Linked DNA regions of Saccharomyces cerevisiae S288C. The gene in region 4 interacts genetically with the main gene of each other region. Each region holds a gene or a part of one and is shown on either strand. Other genes may lie near its edges. The genes, in order: TPK1, FIT3, PAA1 and YDL186W.

Region 1 (6,885 bases), on a different chromosome or scaffold from region 4:
TTTATTTTTTCAAAATTTTTTTTTTATTTAGCAAGTTTCTCTATCTCCTTTGTATTCTAAAAGTAAATGGATGGAAAGAATGGATCTTTTCGTAGACTATAATGCTTCCTAAAATATACACGTATAGAATGGAGATTCCGACTTGTTTGGAGCCACCAATTGCCCTTTATTTGGTTTATACCAAGGGGCTCACGTAAAAAAAAAATCGATATGCAAAATCCTTCATTTCATGATGCAAGCTTTCGAAAGTGGCGCGGCGAGCAAAGTAGAAAATCAAAGACAGAAGCGTAGAATAAAAGCCCTTTTAATGGTAGGAATACGCCTCGATAACATCATGTATGCAATCTACAAGAACAGTGAACGCCGTTCCATCTCCGTAGTAACTATACAGGGGTTGAAATTTCGTTTTCGAAGGATAGTTGTTATGTAGAAAAGAGGGAAAAAAATATGAAAAAAAAAAAATATAGATACGAGAGGAAAATACAACAAAACATTAGTCATTAGAAGTCCCGGAAAAGATCAGCATATGGGTCTTCACCTTGAACACCGTAGTTGATGTCTTCTTCCGGGTACTTATCGAACTGTGAGGTGTCACCTTGTCCCTGTTGAATGGGCGGTTCATACGGCGTTTCTATGTTTCTAGATAATAATTTTTCCCAGACAACTTCTTTGAACCAGGGGTGGTTTTTGACATCTTCTGTACCATTTTGTAAATTACCTAGTCTTTGACTTAAGTCTCTTGTGATCAATCTACTCAACAGGTCCTTTACATCTTCGTTGAAAAATGGTGGAAATCTCAATTCGGCATTCAAGATTTTCTCATAGGTTTTCATCGTGTTAGAGTCGTAAAATGGCGTGTATCCTGCTAGCATTTCGTAAATCAGAATACCGAAACTCCACCAATCGATAGATTTATTATATGGTTTAGTACTAACGACCTCGGGTGCTATGTAGTCGGGAGTACCGCATAATGTATATGTGACGTCAGGAACGTATTTGGCAAACCCGAAATCTGTTATCTTTATATGCCCGTTTTTATCAAGCAAGATATTTTCCGGTTTCAAATCCCTATAAATAATGTCCTTGCTATGCAAGTACTCCAAAGCTAAACAAACTTCCGCTGCGTAAAATTTAGCAACTGGGTTGGGAAATCTTTGGGATTTCCTTAACAAAGAAAACAATTCTCCACCTTCAATATAATCCATAATCATGAAAATTTGCTGAGCATCTTGGAAAGTCCCCCACATTCTAATAATAAACGGATGTGTTACGATAGAAAGCATCAATCGCTCGTCGTTGGTATGCTCCACCTGTTTCAATCTTACCACGATTTCCTTTTTCAAAACTTTCATGGCGTAGTATCTGCCATTATGTCTTGATCTAATCAAATGGACCCTACCAAAAGAACCCGTACCCAGTGTCCTTAATATCTGAAAGTCTTGTAAACTATACTTCCCACTTGTAACTCTCGCTTGGGCAATAAACTGTTTATACTGCTCCTCATTGTAATAAGTGACATGTGGCTGCTTCGGTTTTTCTTGGGTTTCTCCACCCTCTTTTTCTACAGACTTACTTTCGTTACCGCTCTCTGTGGCTGTTGTTTCCCTTTCACTAGTCTCACCTTTTTGTGATTCCTCACCTTGTCTATCATCTAGAGACTTTTGACCACCTCCATTTTGTTCTTCAGTCGACATACCCAAAAAAAAGATTCTTTCACACAATCAGCTATAATTCATGCACTGCTTAAGCTAAGAGAACACTACTTTCTGTGCTACCTTTGAAGCCGATTGAAAATGCAAGCAAGCCAAACAAAAAAAAAAGTATAGGGTCAGATTCCTTAGCTTTATCAAATTAAAACTCTTAGATGGATACAATCGCAGCTTCTATGATGTTTCGCACCTAAAAATTCTCACGTTTTTCTGGCCAGAGATAGTAGATGAATATTTTTCAAGTTTTCAAGTAAAGGGATACGATATCCCCCTTGATTATTATGTCAAACTTTTACCAGATCCCGCCTTCCCTCCCCCCTAATAGCGCGAAAAAAAAGATCATCATGATTACGTAGAAAAAACCACAACAACACTATGTTGAATCATGTCATAAGCAAAGTCGTTAGGACACTGGCTTTGCAAGAACGAATAGCAGCACAGCTTCGAACAAGTAACTAAAAATATGTGGTGTATACGGTATGTAAATGTTTTTAAGGCCCGTCCAGCGGAGGGTTCTTGTAAATTCTTAGGAAGAATGTCAACAAGATGGCAACAATACTTGTTGAGAACGGTATATACATAAACAGACTAGGATTAACGGAGACAGTACTTCCATATAGCTTAAGGAGGATGGGAGGGATGACAAGCATAACACAGGACCTTACCAAAGCCATTGCTCCGAACATCTCGCCTGTATGTTTCTTAGAGGTGTACTTTATGATACCAGACTGCAAAGTTGGTGAACAAAACGCGCTCAATGCCTGTAAAAGAGCGAATATTATCATGGATGTGGGAGTTTTCTCGCCAAATCGTATCATGACAAAGAGACTCAGTGTTATAACAATCATAGAAAACTGTATGCAAAAGATGTCTATCTTGTCTATCGAATGGTTCAAGTGTTGATAAATCCTCTTTAGCGTGTACAGTAATGTAGGTGATACGACCAGTAACACAACACCTCTTCCGATACCCAGTATCGATATGAAATAACCTAGCTCTACTGCATGCCATTTGTACTCATATGTAGAAAACAAAATCAATGCTGGCATACACGATGTCGTTCCACAGACAAATAGTATATCGAGTACAATGAGTAATATTACGGTATGCCGGGGTACTAAAGACCCTGCACTGTCGGGCTTCAGCCATAACTTTTTTACTGGAGCGAGCAGGTCCATTAACCTCATTATTTGAAATTTTCCATAAGTAACGGATTGGTAATTTCTTGCATCGTCAGAACCCGATTGTGATCTTAGTTTCTCTCTCCTCTTTGTATAAGTTGATTGTGAATGGGCCATTTGGGTTTCATGGCGCGGTTCCACCATGATTGTCTCACATATTATAAGCGCCAGTATAACAAACGCTATTGATGTGTAAATAGGAATGAACCCGTTTCCATGAGTCCACTTCACCAGAAAGGACCCAAACATTGGGCCTACGCCCATAGTGGCATATATACAACTCATCATTATTCCTATTGTCACCATTCTGTGCTCAGTTTTCACTATATCTGAAACGTAACTATTTCCATTCGCCACTAGCGCAAACAAGCCACCGAATGATGGTACGATACACGCAGTAAGAACAATAGCCCATTTGTGATACTTCATTTTCGATGATAGGGTAAAGACGTGCGTAAGAAGCCCTATGACCCTGATGCCGCTCATGTATTTGAAAACACGCACTCTTCCTATTCTATCGGATAATTCTCCCCACTTACCAGCCATGAAAATACTGATTGCCCCTGCTATCATCATAGTGGATGAAGAAATGCTGGAAACTATTGTCTGTACAGCCACGGAATCATAATGTCCATTCTCATCTGAAATTCCTTCCGCTACCTTGTCCATCACCAACGGTATTGTAGCAGTCATAGAAATAGACTCCGCAATACAGATAATCATAACAAGGCCGTAAAGGCATAATAGTTTTCTACGTCCATGCTCTCCCTCAACGCTTTTGGCAACACTCAAAATACTGGGGGAGCGCCGGATAGAGTCATAGCTACTGTCCTGAGCTGTTTCATTAGTATCCAAATTTATTCCAGTACTGTCATTTTGACTAATGATTTCTTCCAAGGCGTTGATCCCAGCCGTTTCCAATAAATAGTCCATCTCATCTGAAGACATTAAACGAGTTGTTTCATCCTCGTTTGACATTGTTCTGCGCCTTTGCTTCGCACGGTTTGAAGATGTATACGTGAAATGCAAGAACTAGGGTTTGTATTCCTTATAAGTCTATTAGACTTCTTGCAGATCAGCCCTTCATCTTGTTGGTTTTTAGGAATCCCTTACCCTTTATTTTTTTTTTTTTTGATTTCGATTAAGGGCGGGAAATCATGATAAACTTCCACGGAACAACAATAAACGCTCGGCCAATGTTAGTAAGATACACTGTACTTACCTGATGATAATCCCATAGCACTTTCATTCACTTGGAAGCCAAACCAGTTTATAAGTACTTTTAAATTGCCAAGTGCACCCTTTGGTAATTTTTTTTTACTTTTACCATTTTCTGTAAGAATTTTCTATTTATTTCAGTAGTTTATTGAATTTCCATAACTAAATATATATTTAAGATATTAATAATTGAGACATGAAATGTACTGACTAGATACTTTTATATATTTTACATTATTCATTCAAATTATTTCCATCCTGGCGTAAGGACGACGGGTATATGCTCATTAAGAAGAGCGTTCGATTATACTTTACCGTCACATCTTTCGGAAAAAATTTTAATGACCTGCATCTGTCTTTCTTGTAAGATGTTCAATTTGTCCATTAAACTTTTATCAAATTCTAGGTATGTTTTCCAAACCATAATACTTTGCTTTTGGGTTAACATATCACTGAACTGCGTATCTGCTCTCAGGCGCTGTAATGATACTTGATGTATTGTTTCTTTAAGTTTGTTACATTGGTTATTAAACAGCTGCACGTTAAGCTTCAATGTTTCAAGGTCAGCCACTGCATCAAATTCCGGAATCTCTGGTATTTCCAAATCTAAGATCTCGGGTGTAATTCCACACTGTTCTAGTAACGGTTTGAATTTTGCACGATTACTTTCTGCTTGGGCAAAAGTTCCACCTTGTTCGTGACTCTGAGTGGTCTTCGGCTTTTTAAAAAGATTGATTGATTCTAACGAGTCATTAATTGCATCCATCATAAAATAATCTTTTTCTCTTGGTAAAGATTGGAACAATTCTTCTAAAGATATATCATCTTTCTTTCTCCTTTTCATCCCTTTAGGTTCTTTGATAGATAAATTTTCTATGTCGATTGAGTCGCTGTGATTTTTATCACCTATTTCATCCCGACGAAACAGCAAGTCTTTATTTCGATCGTCTACATTGCTTATATTGAGTTTTTCAATAATGTCTCTCAAAATGTTCCATCCTTCATTGGCACTAGTTGTTGCAGGTATCTCTTTAATGGGAGAAACTGACTTTCTAAACTGATTCTTGCATTCGAATTTACTTCTTGCGTAATGTCGATACTCATGATTGTAAAAAGGAGATTGCAAATTTGAATCATGGGATCCACTAGAAAAAGTACTGGTCTTGGGCAATTTAAATTGTTTGTGTCCCGTTTCTTCTTCGCCATTTTCCTCTGGAGAGACTCTGCTTTCCCTTTTCGGTTCTTTATTATTTTTTTTTTCTTCATCAGGACTGCTAGACTTCGACGTCATTCCATAATGTTGCTGCTGTTGCTGTTGTTGCTGCTGTTGCTGTTGTTGTTTTCCTGCTTCTTCTTCTTCTTCATGATCGCTTAGTGCTGATCCCAAACATGAATTTGGATCTTCAGAGTAAGATTTATGTGTGTACGCATTTTTACCCAATATTTCCCATATTTCTTGGAACTGAGAGTTCGTATCCATTTTACCGGCATCAGTCATTCTTACTTTTGAGGCTCCATTGGTTTCATGGAACAAAGAATCAATATCAGGACTTCCATGTTTCCTTTCCTTTTTGGATGAATAATAGTGGTTTCGTTGGTAGCTTTTTAAATTGAAGGACTTGAATATCGGAACCTTACTCTTAGAGCTTGAGGTCATTTTTTTGCCTACACCGAAACCGTAGGGCTGTTGCTCATAAGGTTTATTTTGCCTATGATAAGCTTCTGATTGACCAAGTGTGGGACTAGCCCCTTGTGATTCCTTTGCCTTGGTCTTGAAAATATGACAGTTTTTCTTCGGCTGGTAAGTGTGTAAACCTTTGATTTTCAAATCTCGATCATATCGAAGTTTTTGATCTTCATCAGTTAAAATTGAATGTGCATGCACCACAGCTTTGAATAATTCCTCAGACTTATCAGATTTTGTTTTATCTGGGTGAAGTAATCTGGCCAGTTTTAGATATGATTTATGTACTTCGGAGGAAGTCGCATTTGATGTCAAGCCTAATATGGAATAATAGGTTGTTCTATCTAATTGTGGTTCTATTACCTGTGACATAAGAATAGTACAGTGTACAATAGCATAAACTGAAGAAGCACTTTGCTACAGTCTATATTGAACATTCCAGGTCTATTTACGCTCATGCCTCAAAAAAAGTTTAAAGGCATCGCACGGTATTGTATTTTCAAGATGTCCGCACCGAATCGGTATTGTAAAAGTTTCACAATATTGAACATCTAGCACAATGATCAACTGAATTGAGGACAAACAGATAATTTTCGTGTGATATTATATTTTAATAGGATAAAGGTGAACTACTACAAACTATTTCAAAAAATAACTATTTAGCTAATCACATAAAAAATACTCCGATACGGGGAGTCGAACCCCGGTCTCCACGGTGAAAGCGTGATGTGATAGCCGTTACACTATATCGGATTATAAACGGTTAATATTCAACACCTAATAGTACTACTTACCAAATTAACAAGAGGATCATCTTTCCCATATGATAATAGACACCGGCTCTAAACTCAACTGTTCTGTACTAGTTGTTTTGATAGAATTTTTTTTACAAATCTGCCCAAAGTACGTTTTCCTAGTTTCATGCCTGTGCAACGCCGCAGCGCTAACCTGTGCAGGACAGATATGTAAATTGGAATCTTAACAGCAACAGAGACTCTCTCAAAACCGATACCAGAACTCAACCGCACTTCGTTATCCATAAATGTTGCCTTAGCCGAATGCAATACATCCCTTATAAAATCAATACAATGCG
Region 2 (6,184 bases), on a different chromosome or scaffold from region 4:
CGGAGGGGAAGATCACACTTAAATCCGTATGAGCCGCGCACATAATGGTATTCAAATACACAAGAACATTCATGAGCTATTTTTCATCCGTGCAAACGAATTTACTACAATTGGACCAGAGGGCACCATAACTGGAGACTTTGCTACTGACTCAACGTTGATGATGCGAGTAGTGGGTGTACTGTGATTTGCTCATTTTTTTTTTTATAGAAAGATTCGATTAATGAAAGTCACAGGAGACATTTTTACATAGACATTCCGTATATGTTGCGGGTATCGCGGATGCGGATTAGTGATGCCTTTAACTACATTTCATAGATTTCTGTATACCAATTGAAATGAGTGAAGTAAGCTCCTACAGTGAAATATCTGGGTGCTACTGACGCCAAGCCCTACAGCGATCGGAATGCGGGAACGGAAGTTAACGGGGCTTCCAGAACGGCGGAAGCGAATTGAACGAGGACGGCAAACAAAAACACCCAAAATTTCATTACTTAGAATGACCCTCAAGAGCAGGGTGCAATTTATCAAGCGATCATTGAACTAACTAAGTTCATATCCTGTATAGGATTTAAAACAATGCACCCTAAGTTCAAATGCACCCCCCCTCGCCCCGCAGCGGACCCTTGAACAGAGAACTGTTTCGAGGTTCACCCAATTGGATCACTTGTATAATTTGTAATCGAGTTCGGATAAGATGTATACGAATCTAACTGGGTGCAGTATAATTAGCATTTTATATTACCTAGCAATATATGTATAAAACAGGAATGTGTGCGTGCTTCAGGCAGAATTTTACGGTCCTTGTAAAAAAGTCTATCATAAAGCCATCACAAAACAATAATAATGAAATTCTCAACTATTTTCGGAGCTACTACAGTTATGACTGCCGTCTCGGCAGCAGCTGTGTCGAGTGTAATGACCACTAAGACTATTACTGCTACTAACGGTAATAACGTTTACACTAAGGTCGTTACCGACACCGCTGACCCTATCATTAGTTACAGTACCACTAGAACTGTCGTTGTCAGTAATAGTGATGCTACTTACACAAAGGTTGTCACCGAAGGACCAGATACCACCTCTGAAAAGAGTACAACAAAGACACTTACTTTGACAAACGGTTCAGGTTCATCAACCAACCTTTACACCAAGACCGTCACTCAAGCCGTCGAATCATCTACATCCTCCTCATCCTCCTCATCCTCCTCCTCCTCTTCTGCCTCTTCTTCTGGTGCTGCTCCTGCTGCATTCCAAGGAGCAAGTGTCGGTGCATTGGCCCTTGGTTTGATTTCTTACCTATTATAAGCTCGGTTTCAAACCAGAAAAAAGCTATTAGTTATCGTGTATAGCATATTTATAACTTATCTATGAAAAGCTAATATAATTGTCTTTCTCCTTCAAAAGGCTAGTAAAAAGGACTTTTTTTCATTACGTTTCTCAGTGACTTCAATGTAGCAGTTTTTCGTTTCATCATCATCATCGTATTATTATTATTGTTATTATTATTATTATCATTACTTTTATTAATATTAACTATTTTTTTAGTATGATTTCGGGTATATTTATTTTAATTAGATACTTTTAACCGTTTCAAACAATTAAAGGAAGACCAACGAACTTGAAACAGTATATATACATACATACTTAATGTGTGTTATTAAAATTTTTTTATTCTAACATAACTTCGAAAAAAGGCCAAGCCGCAAGGTGCTTCATAAAAATCGGATATCCCGCATGATTATTCACATATCATTTACAATAACATGACGGCAGCAAGGGCAGCACCCATCAAACCAGTACCAGCGGTGATGGCATCAGCAGCACCGGTGTAACTAGATAATTCAGCGGTGCTAGAGGATGTAGCAGAGGAAGAAGTTTCAGCAGTGGTGGTTGCAGTGGTTGAAGCAGAAGAGGTAGCAGCTTCTGAGCTGGTAGAAGTACTACTTGGAGACCAGGTGTTGCTGCTGCCTTCACCAGTCCAGACAAAAGTAGCATCTTGGGTGACAGTCTTAGTGTAGACGTGACCGTTCTTGGTGGCAGTGATAGTGGTAGTGATACTAGAACCAGAACCTTCATCAGCAGAAGAAGTCTCAGCAGCAGAAGAAGTCTCAGCAGCAGAAGTGGTAGCGGCAGCAGAAGTGGTAGCGGCAGCAGAGGTTTCGGCGGCAGAAGTTTCGGCGGCAGAAGATTCAGCGGCAGAAGTGCTGCTGGCGTAAGAGTCTTCACCACCCCAAACAAAAGTAGCATCTTGGGTGACAGTCTTAGTGTAGACATGACCGTTCTTGGTGGCAGTGATGGTGGTGGTGATACTCTCAGCAAGAGCAGTAGCGGCAACAGCAGATAGAACCAAAGCGGAAGAGAATTTCATTTTAGGGATTATTGTTATTAGTTATTTTTAAGCGAGTGGAAGTACTTGTTTGTATCTGTTCGAACATTCATATTACCTCCTAATACTTCAAATAGTTCTTGGCTTAAATACCCCATAAATCAACTTTTACAAAAAAAAAAATAACAAATCTCGAACGATAATTGAACCCCATTTTTTTGCACCCTTTCCTAGAATGGCGGAACTCGGCTCTTGAGCCCTTAGATTGCTTTCCTTCACATACATCAAAAAATATGGGATAGCGGGGTGCGGAACAAACAGGGTGCAAAAAAAAATCTAGGACATAGGTAGGACTAAGAAGACTGTGGCATTACTACACAGCAATCATATTTTACCGCTTCCTCGTTTAATTGGATTTTTACTTTTCATTACATTAGCGATCATTAAAAAAGGAGCGTCAATTTTTTACTTGGCAAATGTGTAATGTAGCGTTTTCGGTATGTCACATCACCAATTTTGTCGCAGTTAATTTAATTCACCCAGATTTCGAATGCTTTTCGCTAGATTAGTGCTGCTGTTGGTGTATTTGGCACCAGGTTCTTTAGCAAAACCAGCATCAACTAAGAAAAGAACGCAATGGGACCAGATAGCAATTGATGCTTGTGCTAAAGAATTGGAATCACACAAATTTGACACGGATGTGAAGGGTCGGCACGCTACTCTTTGCACTTATGAACCAGCACTAGGGTCTTGGTTACATTGCGCGAAGGATGTTCTCGACAGTAGGAAGAAAAGTAAAAAAATATTCGAAAAAACGTTTAGCAAAATTAATCAGTATTGCCACGATTATCACAAAGATGAGGTCGTCAGCAATGAGGAGTATTATCGAATTTTTGCCAATGCATCCCTTTTCATCCGGCCTCTTGATGAGGTAAAGGAAAACATACGATATCCCGTCACTCCCAATAAAGCCTCTCTAGATAGGTGGGTATGGGCTTATTTTGGGCCCCTGGATAATATAGACAAAGGAAATGTTTATGGAGTGACGATTTGCTTATACTGGATAGGAGTTCTGTTTATTGCAGCTGTATATCACTTCTTGAACTTTTCTCGACTTAAACAAACGGTGTTCAAAAACAAGGTGTCTGCTTTCTTAAGAGGCCACTATGTTCTTCCAGCGCTTGTTCATAACCATGCTATGTCAGTGGGAAGGTGGTTTTTCATCGGTCTGGTCCCTACCAGGTTAGAGACCCTTGTCCTATTCGGTTACGTTTTGTTGCACGGGTTCTTGTTGAGTAGTTACAATTTTGACCATAATGAGTTGCTCAGTGATCGCAGAAGCCAAGTGCTTATCTTCCTTTCCGACAGGGCAGGGATCCTGGCATTCGCACATTTTCCTTTGATAGTTCTCTTTGGCGGTAAAAACAGCACAATGACTTGGCTCACAGGTATAAGATATACCGCATTCATTACTTACCACAAATGGTTAGGAAGATTCATGTTAGTAGACTGTACGATCCATGCAATAGGATACACCTACCATGCATACATAGAAAATTACTGGAAATACGTGAAGTATAGTGATCTATGGACATCCGGAAGACATGCCATGATCATTGTTGGAATACTTGTGTTTTTTTCGTTCTTCTTCTTTAGACGACATTATTACGAATTGTTTGTTATTACGCACATTATCTTAGCAATAGGATTTTTCCATGCGTGCTGGAAACATTGCTATAAACTTGGATGGGGTGAATGGATAATGGCGTGTGCACTGTTTTGGATTGCTGACCGTATTCTGCGGCTAATAAAGATTGCAATTTTTGGAATGCCATGGGCTAAATTGAAACTGTGTGGCGAGTCCATGATAGAAGTGAGAATCTCAAAAAGCTCCAAATGGTGGAAAGCAGAACCTGGCCAATATATATATCTGTACTTCTTAAGACCAAAAATATTCTGGCAATCACATCCATTCACGGTCATGGATTCTTTGGTTGAGGATGGTGAGTTGGTAGTTGTGATAACAGTGAAAAATGGGCTAACCAAAAAATTACAGGAATACCTTTTAGAGAGCGAAGGGTACACGGAAATGCGAGTACTAGCAGAAGGACCTTATGGACAAAGCACGCGAACACATTTGTTCGAAAGCCTCCTGTTTATTGCCGGAGGGGCGGGTGTTCCTGGACCTCTGTCGATGGCAATAAAGGCAGGTCGCCAGGTCAAAAGCAACGATTCTCATCAAATGATCAAATTTGTGTGGAGTGTACGTAACCTTGATCTCTTAGAAGTGTATCGCAAAGAGATAATGGTGCTAAAAGAGTTGAACATAGACACAAAAATTTACTTCACAGGAGAGCGAAAAGATGAATCGAACACGGAGGAGGGAGCAATTGCTAATATGAGCACGGAAGGCAGACTGCTGACGACATCGAAATCAGCGGAAATGATTACTGATTTTGGACGACCAAATATCGATGAGATAATTGAAGAAGCAGTAAGTGGTGCAAAATCTTTGTTGGTCACTTGTTGCGGGTCAGAGGGCTTTGTAGACAAGACACGAGAGTTGACGGCAAAAAGAGTTCTTGAACACGGTGACAAATGGATAGAATACGTGGAGGAATTCCAGAATTGGTAGCATTTCAATCCGCCCTATCAATGCTAACCTGTTACGAATACCAAAACCACAAAAACACGGACCTTGTTTAATTACTGTATGAAATAACTGTACTCCATTAATATTCAATGCATTTAGTCCTTAAAAATCAGCGGGAATCTAATAAGCCGGCGAAGGTACTACACCTCACCCTTACTGTTATTTAAAAATCCTATTTGTGGGGATTTGCAATTAGTTTTCATCGCCAAATAACAATCCTTCACTGCACACCACTACTTAAAAAAAGGGTACATTGCTAACATTCTTGGTATGAAAAATTGCAGTCATTTAGATTGAGTTGGCAAAAATACAAATTTAACGCATGAGTATAAAATCGCTATTCGCTTTATTATTATTTCCTCCCTGATTAATAAATATCGAAGGGTAATCAGGGTTACGGGAACAGTACTTATCGGAGGAATAATAAGCAGCACCCTTTAGAATGTGGATCGTTTCAATACAGTCGCATCTGACATATACAGCGCCACTGTCGTAAGTTGTCAATCACGAGAACATAATCTTGAAACACGGATGGCTACATAGAGTTACCTTTTTCATCATGATATGAATTGATACTTTAGGCATGATAGAAAACAAAAGTTTTGCATTACATCAGGGTATCCAATTGAAAATGTTCTAGCTATTCATTTACCTTCCCGAAAAGCATTCTTCGAAGCTGCAGTTCTTTCTGCCATTCATCTCAGAACTGTCTTCGTTGCAGAGTCAAAGTTGCCACTTTTCTTCATTTATTTGATATAGAAAATGCGCAATATACAATCTCTCATTGCAGGATTGATATCATTTTTCCGAGGGAGCGATATTCAACCAGGTTTTGCCAGTCAACGGTGAAGGGTAATACATCAGGTAGGTTGAAAATTAGGCGAGTGAATTAAGAACTTTCTTCCTTTATTACTCTCATTCAATGCCAGTTCGATGAAAATTAGCGGGCAACGATACGCAAATGTCTCGTAAATACTTACGTAATAAGTTATTATTTAATCAAACTTCAATTCGCAAACAAATGAAGGTTACACTGTACTTGCATCACTTACAGTGGGTTTGAAGTTTCTATGATAGTGGTATCTCGAATTACTGAGAAAATACTGATAGTGAGCTCTTGACGAAAACCTTTCTCCCCGATTATCGCCTATGGTGTATGTCATAAAGGCTTATAAAAGCGAGGCTTTTCATAGAAATATCAC
Region 3 (6,396 bases), 460 kb from region 4:
AAGCGTTGTAACTTCGGTGTGGCAGTTCTTGATGGAGAAGTGATGGCCTTCGTGTTGATAGGAGCTATGTGAGCAAAAGAGTTGTGATTCAACTGTTCTCTTTGATTTGTCATAAAATCTGTCTCACTGTTTTTCCAAAGATGTGGCGTTTCCGGATAATTGATTGGCAATGAATTGCCCTTAACTGGGTCAGGCGAATGTAGAGGTAAAGGCGATGGTGAACTAGATATGGACAACGAAGATATAGAATATAAGTTTGAATTTGAATTCTTCGGATTAGGAGACGTATAATTTGAGAATAATTTTTTGAAACTTGAAGATCTTTTTAGCACATGATCATTGTCTGATTGCTGTTGTTGCTGTTGTTGAAGATGATTTAATGGAGTAGGCGCAACTAGCATTTCTTTCATAGAGTCGTCCATTGAATGTCTTATACTGGGAGACATCTTAGGTAAATGTTGTAAACTTAGGCCAGAAGTGTTACCATTAATATAAACACTATCATCTTTAATATTGTTATTTGATGGAAAAGATGATGATACTTGCCTCCCATAATTTGACTTAAGCCAACCTGGAAAACCAGATTCCAGAATGAAAATTTTGGTAAAGTCATCGGATATTGGTTTTTCAAAGGAATGATTCACCAGAATGTCCAACAGGACAGACTGCTGTTTAACATTGTATTCGTTTGCGTCTGTATAGAGAATGATAAACTTGAAAAGATTTCTACTTTGAAACATTTTAATCTCACTATTAGGAGAAGTAATTAATGATTTTTTCTCCAAATCATGATCTGAATATGACATTTTAAAAGAAATAGGCTCCAGGCATATAATATTTTTTGTATCAATATGTGACTTGTTGAATTCCAACCTTGATCGTATATCTATCAGTAGTATCTCCATTTGGGAGGAAGCAGAATTTGCTGATGAACTTATTAGGGAGTTTAATTGATTGGAAGTGATATAGGAACCCGTTCTCATCAGGTTACATTCTTCTTGCTCATGGTTCAATTTTGTTTGTTTTATGGAAGACTTAATGAAACTTTTTATTTTTGCAATGTTTTCATCTTTTAATAAGGTTTCCAGCAAAGTGTTGTAAATGTTCATGAGTTGAAATTCATTATTGTTGTTATTACCGTTGCCCTCATCACTCGTGCTCTTATGTAATTTAATCTTGGCGAATTCACTTAAATGAGGAATATTGGTTGTTACAATAATGTGAATTACCTTGTAGTAAACATAATTTAATTGAATAATCATTACGGAATTTGAACTAATCATTGCACCCTTATTTTTGCACGATATAATATTTTTGATATCTTTCGAGTTCTTCTTGTAAATAGATAAAATATCGATGCATTTATCTAGAAGACTGCTCAAATCTTGATCTTTTGCCTTACCAGTTATGATGAATTCGTTAATTTTAGCCTCTGCAATAGCGGTTAGTTGTGCTATCGTAAGGTACTTCGACCGGTGACGAATACACTCATCCCTTATGGTACTAATAATATTCTGCTCCATAACTTAAGCATGTATCAAATAGTAAAAAAAACTTTGGAAGCGTGCACACTCAGTCTTAAATCTGCCCTATACTACCGAAGATAAATACATGAACTACACGTATCATATAACATCATATCCTTTTTTTTTTTTTTTTTTTTTTTTCTAGGCTTTTACTAATACAAGGGCCTTAGCCATTCGCTAAACGTAATGAACGATATTGAAGCAAATGAAGTAAAACAATGTGGAAAGCAAATAAATAATGGTTATAGTTTTGCACTTATATAGATATCAATAAATGATATGATATGACTAAATACGATAGGACCAGGGGGGAAGGAATATAGATATGTGTATGACAGAAACTACATGCATATACGAGTTTGTACCAAGTGCTTCTTAATAAACACCGTCATCTGGCCTGTTTTGTTCGATTCTAGCGTCATCTCCCTTTTTTTTCAAATCTTCCATTCCAGGTTGCTTATAATCTGGATTCTTGCCGTGTTCCAAAGTGTCCAACCTCTTCTTGTTGCTATCAAACAAACCCTGTTCTTTTTTCTCAGCTTCATCTTGATTGTTCTTTAGGTGAGGAAAGGCGGCCCTAGTGACGATTGAGAAAGACGCCCTTGGCGATTTACGCATCAATTGTCTTGGAGTGCGCAAAAAAGTGGTTCTCAACATTATCAAATATATTCCTGTGTATTATATATGTGATACTGCGGTCTGGCTTCAACTGCTGTTGGAGTATTGTAGGAACAAGTATTCAAGGCCAAAAAAAACTAAGAGCCAACTCAAAGGCCATATCTACCTAATCAAATCTTGGGACCTTTATATACTTATGTGCTTTTACGGTTCCCTTAGATTCTGTACAGGAAGAAGGGGTTGATACAGGAACAAACCCTTTACAGTAAAGGTATCCTTAAAAAAAAAGGAAGGTAGTACGTATATCTCTCCAAGAACTGAAAAGAACCCAATCACCGGAATTAAGCAGTGATATCTCAGTACGGTCAAGGATGTAGGGTAGCACCAGTAGTAATGATTTTAATTATACTTGGCAATTTTAAAATATACAAAAATTATATGTAGTATTTATAATTAGACATTTGTAAAGTGCGTTAAACTAATGATCTAGTTGTCGTATTCTTCCTTAATTAGTTCTCTCTCCATATCGATCCATTTCTGTTCTGCGAAGTTTTTGTCCTTAGCAACATTGGTGTTCTCAGCAATGATCTTGAAACCAACTCTTTCATAAAATGGTATCAATGGCTCGTGAGCAATAAGGACAATTTTGTTACCAATTTCCTGATTACTCAATTTCTGAATGTAGTCAGTTAAAAGTAAAGTAGCCAGGTTTTTTTTCTGGTATTCTGGCTTGATTACTACAGAGTGAATACCAATATGATTACTCGATTCCACTTGTAATTTGCCCATGCTTTCGATAGTAATGTATTCATGAGGTATCTTAGTACCCATAATATGACCAATTAGTGTCTCCTTTTTAACTTCTTTGCCCTCGATCTCTCTGATGAAAAGACCTGAACATAGCTCTGGACAATTGATCAAACGAAAGCTGATAATTTCTTCTGAAGCTCTTTCGTTTGGTGGGAAACCTTGGCTTTCCAAGTTCAAAATCTGCTTTAAATCTTCAATGATTAAGGGTCTAATATACATATGAAGCGGTAGCGTGCTACTTGAGGAGGCCATTTTAACTTTTTATTTAATCGTAATGTATTGGTGTTATTTTTTCTCCGAGAAAAGTATTCTGATGTCCAATTCTTCTTAATCTAGTTTGTTGTAAATTTTTCTTACAAACACTTGCTCCCGCTTCTTGTCCAGTGGGATGTTCGTCGTTCTTCCATTGCTTTTCCATTTTTGCCCGTTCAAAACTATTCTTTTTATGAATTGACAGAAAACCAAAAGCAAGCCGATTTCAGGTTAACCCTTTATTAAAATAAAAAAAAAAAGCATGCATAACACTAATAATATATTATTAAAAAAAAAGCCAATCTATATTATTTAAATTATCCGAAATTACTTTTATTACATTATGACATTCTATAGTCTATGCAAGCGGATCAAAAAACCATTCCATCTTGGTGCCACAAAATACTCTCATGCCAAAAGTGCGAGCTTCGTTTCTTGTATCCACTTTGTCGCCTAACCTTATATGAATCCACTTTTTTAAAACTTTTGGTTGTAAAACAAACCAGTTTATGATGATGAAACTTGTCATTGCATATAAAACACCAACGAAAAGGTCAAATCTATAATGGTGGTCCAGATACATGGTAGCCCACCATTGTAGTATTATATATAGGATAGCCCAGAATTTTGGTATAAACCCATCGTTGACTATTTTAAAAATCCATTTGTTTGTGAAGTTCGTGTCTTCATCATATAAATGGACAAACTGGAGAGGTTTCTTATTGCCATTGCTGTTAATAATGCTGCCGTCGCCGCCGCCGGTGCTTCTTTCATTACTGGATACGGTGAATGAAGATGAAGGGGAGGAGGACCGCTCATTTGAAATATCTACAGGCTCAACGGTACCCAATGGTTCCATCTCTAAGTCGTTAGGGCCAATCGTGGGCGGTATGCTATTGTCACCTTCATCTTCGCTGTCTTCCTCACTCAACTTGAAAGTGGAAGAATCATTATTGTGCATTGTGAAACCTCCAGCATTGGAAAATCTGTGTTTTAAGCTGGTGGACCTTGAAACCAAAAACAAGAAACATTGAAATGCAATGGCGGAGTGTAGTGAAGGAACAGCACCAAACACAATAGGAGACATGTGAAATCCTTTAGTGTTCAAATGAGTACCCAAATGGCTATCTACTCTTATCAAACCGGCAGCAAACCCTTCCTGGGTGTAATTAACATGTTCGGTGTCATCAATACCGTACAGATGAGTAAACCATGGGGAGGCCATTGGAACAAGCAGATGGGTAAGGACCCCCGCTATATTTTGTAATCCTAGGGCAAAACTAAAGCATTTTAAAGTCCCCGGTGGTTGGAAGACGTATAAGTATACAGCTGTTAAAATTGGAGCTGTCAAGTGCAGGATGACATAGGAGAACCAAGCCAGTAAATCCTTGGTCTTAGTAAAGTTTGCATCCGACTGGTAAGCAAAGAAATGATCAATGTTGAGTATAACAAATGTAAACAGGGGCAAGGCAAACGGTATGAAAATTGTCCGAAATCTCTTTTGGATCGGCCGCTGCTTGCGCTTGCAGGGGTAATGAAAAATATTTGCGAACCACTCTAACAGATTATAGTTAACGTGCTTAATGTAATAGATGTAGTACCAAATGGCAAAGGGAATACATATCAGAAATACTAAGAGAAATGCAGAAGATGATATGAATGACCAGAAAAATAGCTTCGAAGTATTATCGGGCAATTGTACAGTAAGTTCATGCCAATAGTCCCCAAAGAGGAATTGATCAGCAAAAAAAGCAAACTTGCTATGAATGTCAGGTCTGAGCCTTATGGGTATCAGACCAGCGCGCTTGAATATAGACAGCCAAATAAACACTGGCGCAAAATTAAGCATGAAGTTGAACGGCAGGCTTATTAGATTACGTTGGTTCAAACTTGCATTATACATGTTTTTGACGAAACTCGCCAAAGAAAATATGACATTCATGCTTTCTTAGACGTTGAAAGACTTTAGGTGATTCTTAGCAGAAATGATAACGTCCAACCGGTGAAATAAAGGAACAGTTAGGGTGGCAATGAAAAAGTAGCGATGCTTATGAAAACACTATGCCTTAGGTTTCCTTTTTTTATTTTTATTTGACAAGTAGCGATTACTCTTCTATTGTTCCTGGTTTTTGATGCTCGAATGTATTATATAAAAATGTTGTGGCCGGAGGTCTGCATTTCTAGGCATTTTTCCTTTTTCTTATTTTTTTTACTTTCCTACTAACTTTGCACTTCGTAAGAGAATTTACACCAGAACTCTCGATTGAGGCGAAGAAGGCGGAGAAAAAAGCCGGTAAAAAAAAAAAGCGGAATCAATCAGCACAATCAGAGGCGTCAAGAAGCGGCGCGGGGATAATGCTTTTTTCCCGTGGCGTTCACATTTTTGTTCCGCGGAAAGCACGTGAGCGTAATCCACTCGGGAAGGGCGCAGCTGCCGTGGCCAACTGAAGTAATCTTTAGCCGTTTATCGCCGCGCAAAACGGCAATTGCACTTGAGACCCCAACGGCGCTGTGCAGCAGGGTATTCTACTACGTGTTAGCTTGCCTTGCATTTCCCCATGCGTCTCGAATAGGAATTATTCAAGATGGATTATTGGCATTTACGAGTAACCAAGGATAACCCCGCTGTGCGGTGAAACCACCCTCTTTTCACGTTTCTTCAAGGCCAGTGCAAACGCGAATAAACATATCTACGCTATATATAGATATGACGTTTCTCAAGCCAACAGAAGTAGATAAAGCAGCCAGGAGGGTAGAGAGTGTTCAAATTATAGCAAGCCTTCTTCTACCTGTTTTTTTTTGATGATTGTTTTGCCGGGTAACAATCGACTTTCGGGCAAATTTTTTTTCCTTTTTTCTCCTAACAGTATATACGGAGTGGAGAACAGACTTCCCATAAAAGCATATTACGTGGGGTCGTAGTAAGATTGCCGTTTATGATACCCTCTATTCAGGGCTCAGAGCGCATCACGATCGGGAGTGTAAATTCAATGTGCATATAAGCAAAACACACAGATTTCCTTTTTTCCCAGAAAAATGAGCAGTGAAATTGCCTACTCGAATACGAACACCAACACTGAAAACGAGAACCGCAATACTGGCGCTGGCGTAGATGTAAATACAAATGCAAATGCAAATGCAAATGCAACTGCAAATGCAACTGCAAATGCAACTGCAAATGCAACTGCAG
Region 4 (6,313 bases):
AATCGTCTTCCTTCAATTCTTGTAACTCGAAATAAAATCCGCGGCACTCACGTGCAAAAGCAGCGGCGGGAGCAGGCCTGAATTTTTTAGAGCCGGCACACTTCGAAAGAACGTTAAGCAAAACATCTCCACCAGACATATAAATAGCATAACTAATTTTATGTTTGGTGCCATTCATGTCAACCTTAGCAGGTTCTGCGTTAACCGAGACTACTAAGCCTAAAGAACGAGCAAGGGAAACCAAACCATCTCTGACAGAAGTATGAATTGTCTTTATTGTTGCTTTAATACCATGCTCATCAGTAACATAGCCATCAGAATCAATTAGACCAGCAAGAAATGTTTCACGAGTACCGATATTGTCCGTAGACAAGAAAGAAGGAATATTTTTGACACCGTCCTTCAAGAATCCTAAGCCAACAATAGCGTCCCATAATGGATTCTCAGTATTAAGATTATTGCGAATACCATTACCTCTGACAACTTTAGAGTACAAATTAACAGTTTTGGCAACTTGTGGTTCTTTTCTGTCCTTATACTCGGCGCACAAATTCAACTTTTCAGCATATTCAGTAACACGTTCCATCAAAGAAGTATCTCTGGAATCAACCGAAAAAGTTGCCCTGTCAGACAATCCATCACCAATCCATAAACCAAGTAAATAAGCAAGTACTTTTGGACCTTCAATGGTGAGATGAAACTTACTTTTTTGCATGTAGTCGAAAAAGTGGTCATTCTCATAAAGAATTGGAGCGTAAGTCTGGTAGGTAGCTTTACGAACATGGGAACCCAACAGAGAAAGATCTCTGGCCTCAATAGTCCACTCAAAATAAGCTTTATTTGAAGCCTTTCTATAGGATTCTACTAATTCGTTGGCTCTCTCAGGCCCCTCAGATATTGGGTAGCTCTTTGAAACTTCCTTGACAAGCTCAACAATTCTACCGTCGGGGGCTTTCTTTTGGCCCATCTCAAAAGTAATAACTTCAAAATATTCGACACCCTTAATGGTACGAGACAAACGGCGGACACTACGAGGTGTTCTAACAACCAACTCATGGGTCGCATTACACGTAAACTTGAGTAATTCTGGCACTTCACGACTTGAGTCACTTTTGTGGGCTCTGTGCTGACTTTTCTGCACGACGCTGTACATAGTTTCTCTTCCTCTGGGCAATTTAATTACCTCACGAGGTCTGCCATCTTTACCCATGACCTTATTACCAACCTCAATGTTTTCAATACATTCAATAGACCCATCCGCCATTAAAACATTGGTACCCTTGGCAAAGCACCCGACATAGATAATGGCGTCAGAATTGGAGTACTTGGACAAAGATTGAGAGATAACGGTCTTACCACAACCAAAAGCACCTGGAATACATGTCGTACCACCTTGAACACAAGGAAACAAAGCATCCAAAACTCTTTGACCTGTTAACAAAGGATAGTCAGCAGATAACTTTTCAGTAACTGGTCTTGGAACACGAACAGGCCAAGTATGGTAAAGAGTGAAATCAGACTTCTTGCCATCAAATTCAACTTCCAAAATCTTCTCATCCAAAGTGTACTCACCAGCTGGAGCAATCCAAGTGATTGTACCTCTTGATCTTGGTGGCAAAAGAATCTTATGGCTTGAAATTAGCGAATTCTCAAAAACGGAACCGTAAATATCACCACCGGAAATATGATCGCCGACTTGAAACTTTCCCGGAGTAAATTGCCACTTGATAGTCCTATCCAAAGCTGGAGTGTCAATACCTCTTGGGATATAAATCGATTGCGATTCTTCCTTAATGGCTTTCAAAGGTCTTTGAATACCATCGTAAATGGTTTCCATCAGACCAGGACCCAATTCTACCGACAGAGGCTTACCTGTTCTCAAAACAGGGTCACCGACCGTAAGGCCTGCAGTTTCTTCGTAAACTTGGATGGTGGCCTTGTCACCGTCAATTCTAATGACTTCACCCACCAGGTTATCGTGACCGACCTTGACCAATTCGTACATGGCACAACCAATCATATTTTCAGCAATGACGACCGGACCAGAGACAGAATAGATGGCACCATATTCAGATTCAGCATGGTCTTCTAATGAGATTCTTTTTATTTCCTTACGAGCGTTTTCAATTGCACCAGCCATTGTTTCTTTTCTTCTCTATTTGCTTTTTAACTCTAAGAATGAAAGAACGACTCCTGCGTTATAATCTTAGATATCTATATGCTTTGAGAAATGTGTTTGGTACTTTTTATTCTAATCAACGTAGTAATCAAAATGTTGCAACCTTATCGAAAGAGCCATTTCTTGTTTTCAGCTTTTAATCCAGTGTGAGACCCCTTTGAGCGGCCGTGGAAAAAGATGTGAAAAAAAAAAAAAAAAAAAAAAAAAAAAGAAAAAGGAAAAAGAAAAAGAACAATACAATAAGGTTATGCTAGGAATAAAAAGAACAATAGATAGGACTATAGAAGCAAAGTGGAGTCTAATCGTGGTGGCAAAAAAATATTCTCGCCCAATTGGAGTCTGTACAGCATTGAAATGCCGATGAAGAGTCTACATACTGCTGCTGTTGCCGCTGTTGTTGTTGCTGTTGTGTTTGCCGTACAGACATGGAGTGGTTCAAGTTTAAGGTATCTAGGTAGCTGACAGGAATAGGATTGGAATAAACATCTCGATAGATAGAGAGTTCTTCGCCGTCCCCAATTTCAATGACTTTTCTTTCTGCTGGGTTTTGTTTTGTTCGAGTAGGAGCTTCGTACGGGAAAAGCACCGGTGTTTGCACTTGATGTTCGCTGTTCCTGGTTGACATATCATTTGGGCTTAGGTGAAATGAGAAGAGATCTTCTTCGAAAAGCTGCAACTCTTGGTCATCTTGACTCGCACTGTGTTCGGTTCGTACACCTTCTTCCTCGTCACGAAAAAACATTTTGGAATTGCGTTTCCACCAATCGGTAAACGATTCTACAATGGAACGCACGGATTCATCTCTCTTTGTTGAACCAAATGGATCCGATCTTCTCGAGTTGAATTGTGCTGTGCTAAGCTGATATGGATGCGTGCCATTAATAGCTTCAATTGCGCCACGATGTGAAGATGCAGGTGGCCTCCATTTTACAAGTACGTCCTCCATTTTTCCCACAAATACATTTTCTTCTCTTCTTCTTCTGCTTTTTTGTTTCGAAATCACGAGTTGCCTCACAGAGGGGAACTCACTTCTTGGTAAGAATCTGTTTTGAGCCTCCGCTTCAGGGCTGTAGGATGGGAAAGTTATGTCGCCCCCATCTAAACCATCTTCTATACTTGTGTTACACTGCATATTTTTCTAATATTTCTTGGCTATCTGTAAGCAAATCTACATCCAGGAATAGAGTCCACAAGTATATTCCATATAAAAGCACAGAACTACGAAGTGTCGCAAATTAGTTGTTTTTTTGGGAACTTGAACCCATACACCGCACCAAATTATTACAATATTTTGTGACACAGGACAGAATATTAATAAAAGAAGCGAAACTCTATTCTCCTAAAACTTCTTCTTGCGGAATTATGTATCAATTAATGCTAAGATTAATCCAAAAGCTTATACGACAACAATAGTCGTTGTGCACTTTGAAATACAATCGTGTATTACCCTGACATGACCGGGTAATCTAGAAGAGGTTATTATTTTCTTTTCCGCTGAATTGTGGAAAAGAGTCGTGGAAAGTTTCAAAGGGACATCCCCATTTTATAAAACCAATTGAAGGGCTGTAACTAGAGCAAACTTCTTAAGGTACCAGCCCGCTGCAAAACAGTGTTCGAACAAGAACACGCAAACCCGTTTACTTCTTGTCCTACCTGCTCTCTTTCCTTTCCGGTTATTGTTCCTGTTACGTCTTTTTTTGAATTTTATATTATTGGCACTTCTGTATAACTGGCTTTCATTCGAAAAAAATGGATATGGAAATTGATGACCCTATGCATGGTTCAGATGAAGATCAATTATCACCGACTCTCGACGAAGACATGAATAGTGATGACGGCAAAAATAATACGAAGGCGCGTTCTAATGACGAAGACACAGATGAAGAGTTGGAAGATTTTAATTTTAAACCGGGGTCCTCGGGTATAGCAGATCATAAATCCTCCAAACCACTAAAACTGACCAATACAAATATAAATCAGCTTGACCAATGGATTGAGCATTTGAGTAAATGCGAGCCACTATCAGAAGACGATGTAGCACGACTATGTAAAATGGCGGTGGACGTGTTGCAGTTCGAGGAGAATGTTAAACCAATTAACGTGCCTGTTACCATTTGTGGTGACGTACACGGTCAATTCCATGACTTGTTAGAACTTTTCAAGATTGGTGGTCCTTGTCCTGACACCAATTACCTTTTCATGGGTGATTACGTGGATAGAGGATATTATTCTGTTGAGACCGTATCTTACCTAGTTGCCATGAAAGTCAGATATCCACATAGAATTACTATACTTAGGGGCAATCACGAGTCTAGGCAGATTACCCAAGTATATGGGTTTTATGACGAATGTTTGAGAAAGTACGGCAGTGCGAACGTGTGGAAAATGTTTACCGATCTATTCGATTATTTCCCCGTTACTGCCTTGGTGGATAATAAAATCTTCTGTTTGCATGGAGGTCTCTCACCCATGATAGAGACAATAGATCAAGTTAGAGATTTAAATAGAATACAGGAAGTGCCTCACGAAGGTCCAATGTGTGACCTTCTATGGTCCGATCCTGATGATAGAGGCGGATGGGGAATCAGTCCGAGAGGTGCAGGCTTCACTTTTGGTCAAGACATCAGTGAGCAATTCAATCACACTAATGACCTATCACTAATAGCAAGAGCTCACCAATTGGTAATGGAAGGATATTCTTGGTCTCACCAGCAAAATGTTGTCACCATTTTCAGTGCTCCAAATTATTGTTATAGATGTGGTAACCAGGCCGCTATTATGGAGGTGGATGAAAACCATAATAGGCAATTCTTACAATACGATCCATCTGTGAGACCCGGTGAACCAACCGTCACCAGGAAGACACCGGATTATTTCTTATAATATATATCTATTACACCTTTATCCTTACTACGCTATTTCATTCCAACATACATTTATTTTTTTTTTTTTTTTAATATATATTTAGTTACTTTTTCCCTCTAATTTTTGATAATAACAACTTATATACAAACATACAAACTATTTTTTCGTTTTCAAATACTTATTTTTTCGAACACAAAGTGAAAACAACTTTTTCTCATATATTACTGTTCTCATACTAGAATTTCTATAAACCGTTACGTAATTTTTTCGCTATGTATAGTTCACTCCTCACGCTAAATGTTTAATTTATCAAATTTCATCTCTACCGAATCAGTATCCCTAGATGACGGCGAACCCTCAACACTAGCCCTACGAATTCCCTCATTCTTATTACTGTTACTGTCATCACTACGTTTCGGAATCGCACCAGAATATGAATTTTTTCCTTGAAAATGGTGGTACTTATTTGCTGAGGATCTTGTGTAATTGTTAGAATTATAGCTTGGTGTATTGCTATATGGCCCGCTGTGATACTGAGTGTTATATTGGTATTGATATTGATATTGGTATGGGGGATACATAGGGATTGGGGTGCCAAACGAACAGGACCCTTGGGGATTCATATTGTACATGTAAGGGTTCATGAAGACTGTGTTATTGCCCATTACCATGGGTGAAGGTGCAGGACCGGGGGCAGGACCAGCGGGGTTATACATTAGAGGGTAGGTTGGCAGACTATTGCCACCCATTTGGGGAGGAGGATACACAAGATATGGCGAAGAATATCCCGATTGGTAACCGCCGTTTTCTTTATTCCGACGACTTTGGCCTCTATAGGCATCTTTGTAATTGTTTGTTCCTCTTCTTCTTCCTCCTCTTCCTCTTCGACTATCATAAAATTGTTGTTGAGGTTTGTTTACTTGTATCGTCGTCACAGATGAATTGAATGGTGATGAAGAGCTAACTGAACCGTTACTAGTTTGTGTGTTAGAGTCATCTCCGTTCAACCAATCACTCCATTCATTGTCACTATCACTACTACCGCTACTGTTGGTTGACTTTACATCGTCTTCACTCTTGTTGAGCTTATCAAAAATTTCTTGTTTACGTTGTTCATAAAGTCTTTCCTTCTCAATTCTTTCTTGTTCCAAATCAGTACTAGATTTATCATCGATTTCGATTTTTTGGTCCTTATTTGAATTGGCTGTCAAATTGCTATTTGGTGTACGTGTATTGCCATCGATTTTATAATCGCACTCGTTACCTACC

Evidence for each region.
Region 1: mutations in YDL186W (region 4) and TPK1 together harm fitness more than expected from each alone (negative genetic interaction), as found in Saccharomyces cerevisiae (3 studies listed by BioGRID).
Region 2: mutations in YDL186W (region 4) and FIT3 together harm fitness more than expected from each alone (negative genetic interaction), as found in Saccharomyces cerevisiae (2 studies listed by BioGRID).
Region 3: mutations in YDL186W (region 4) and PAA1 together harm fitness more than expected from each alone (negative genetic interaction), as found in Saccharomyces cerevisiae (2 studies listed by BioGRID).

What each region holds. Positions count from the first base shown.
Region 1 is NC_001142.9:109,466-116,350, forward strand, and holds TPK1 (cAMP-dependent protein kinase catalytic subunit TPK1), read right to left. Parts: upstream 1,695-6,885; coding exon 501-1,694; downstream 1-500. Other genes in the region: YJL163C (uncharacterized protein), read right to left, coding at 2,201-3,868; JJJ2 (Jjj2p), read right to left, coding at 4,413-6,164.
Region 2 is NC_001147.6:1,058,685-1,064,868, forward strand, and holds FIT3 (Fit3p), read right to left. Parts: upstream 2,372-6,184; coding exon 1,757-2,371; downstream 1-1,756. Other genes in the region: FIT2 (Fit2p), read left to right, coding at 847-1,308; FRE5 (putative ferric-chelate reductase), read left to right, coding at 2,880-4,964. UniProt on the Saccharomyces cerevisiae protein: Involved in the uptake of non-siderophore and siderophore sources of iron. Has a role in the retention of iron in the cell wall and periplasmic space.
Region 3 is NC_001136.10:586,197-592,592, forward strand, and holds PAA1 (polyamine acetyltransferase), read right to left. Parts: upstream 3,207-6,396; coding exon 2,631-3,206; downstream 1-2,630. Other genes in the region: ubiquitin-specific protease DOA4, read right to left, coding at 1-1,523; FMP16 (Fmp16p), read right to left, coding at 1,902-2,183; IPT1 (inositolphosphotransferase), read right to left, coding at 3,565-5,148; SNF11 (Snf11p), read left to right, coding at 6,243-6,396.
Region 4 is NC_001136.10:122,614-128,926, reverse strand, and holds YDL186W (uncharacterized protein), read right to left. Parts: upstream 3,312-6,313; coding exon 2,478-3,311; downstream 1-2,477. Other genes in the region: VMA1 (H(+)-transporting V1 sector ATPase subunit A), read right to left, coding at 1-2,140; phosphoprotein phosphatase 2A catalytic subunit PPH22, read left to right, coding at 3,929-5,062; RBS1 (Rbs1p), read right to left, coding at 5,338-6,313.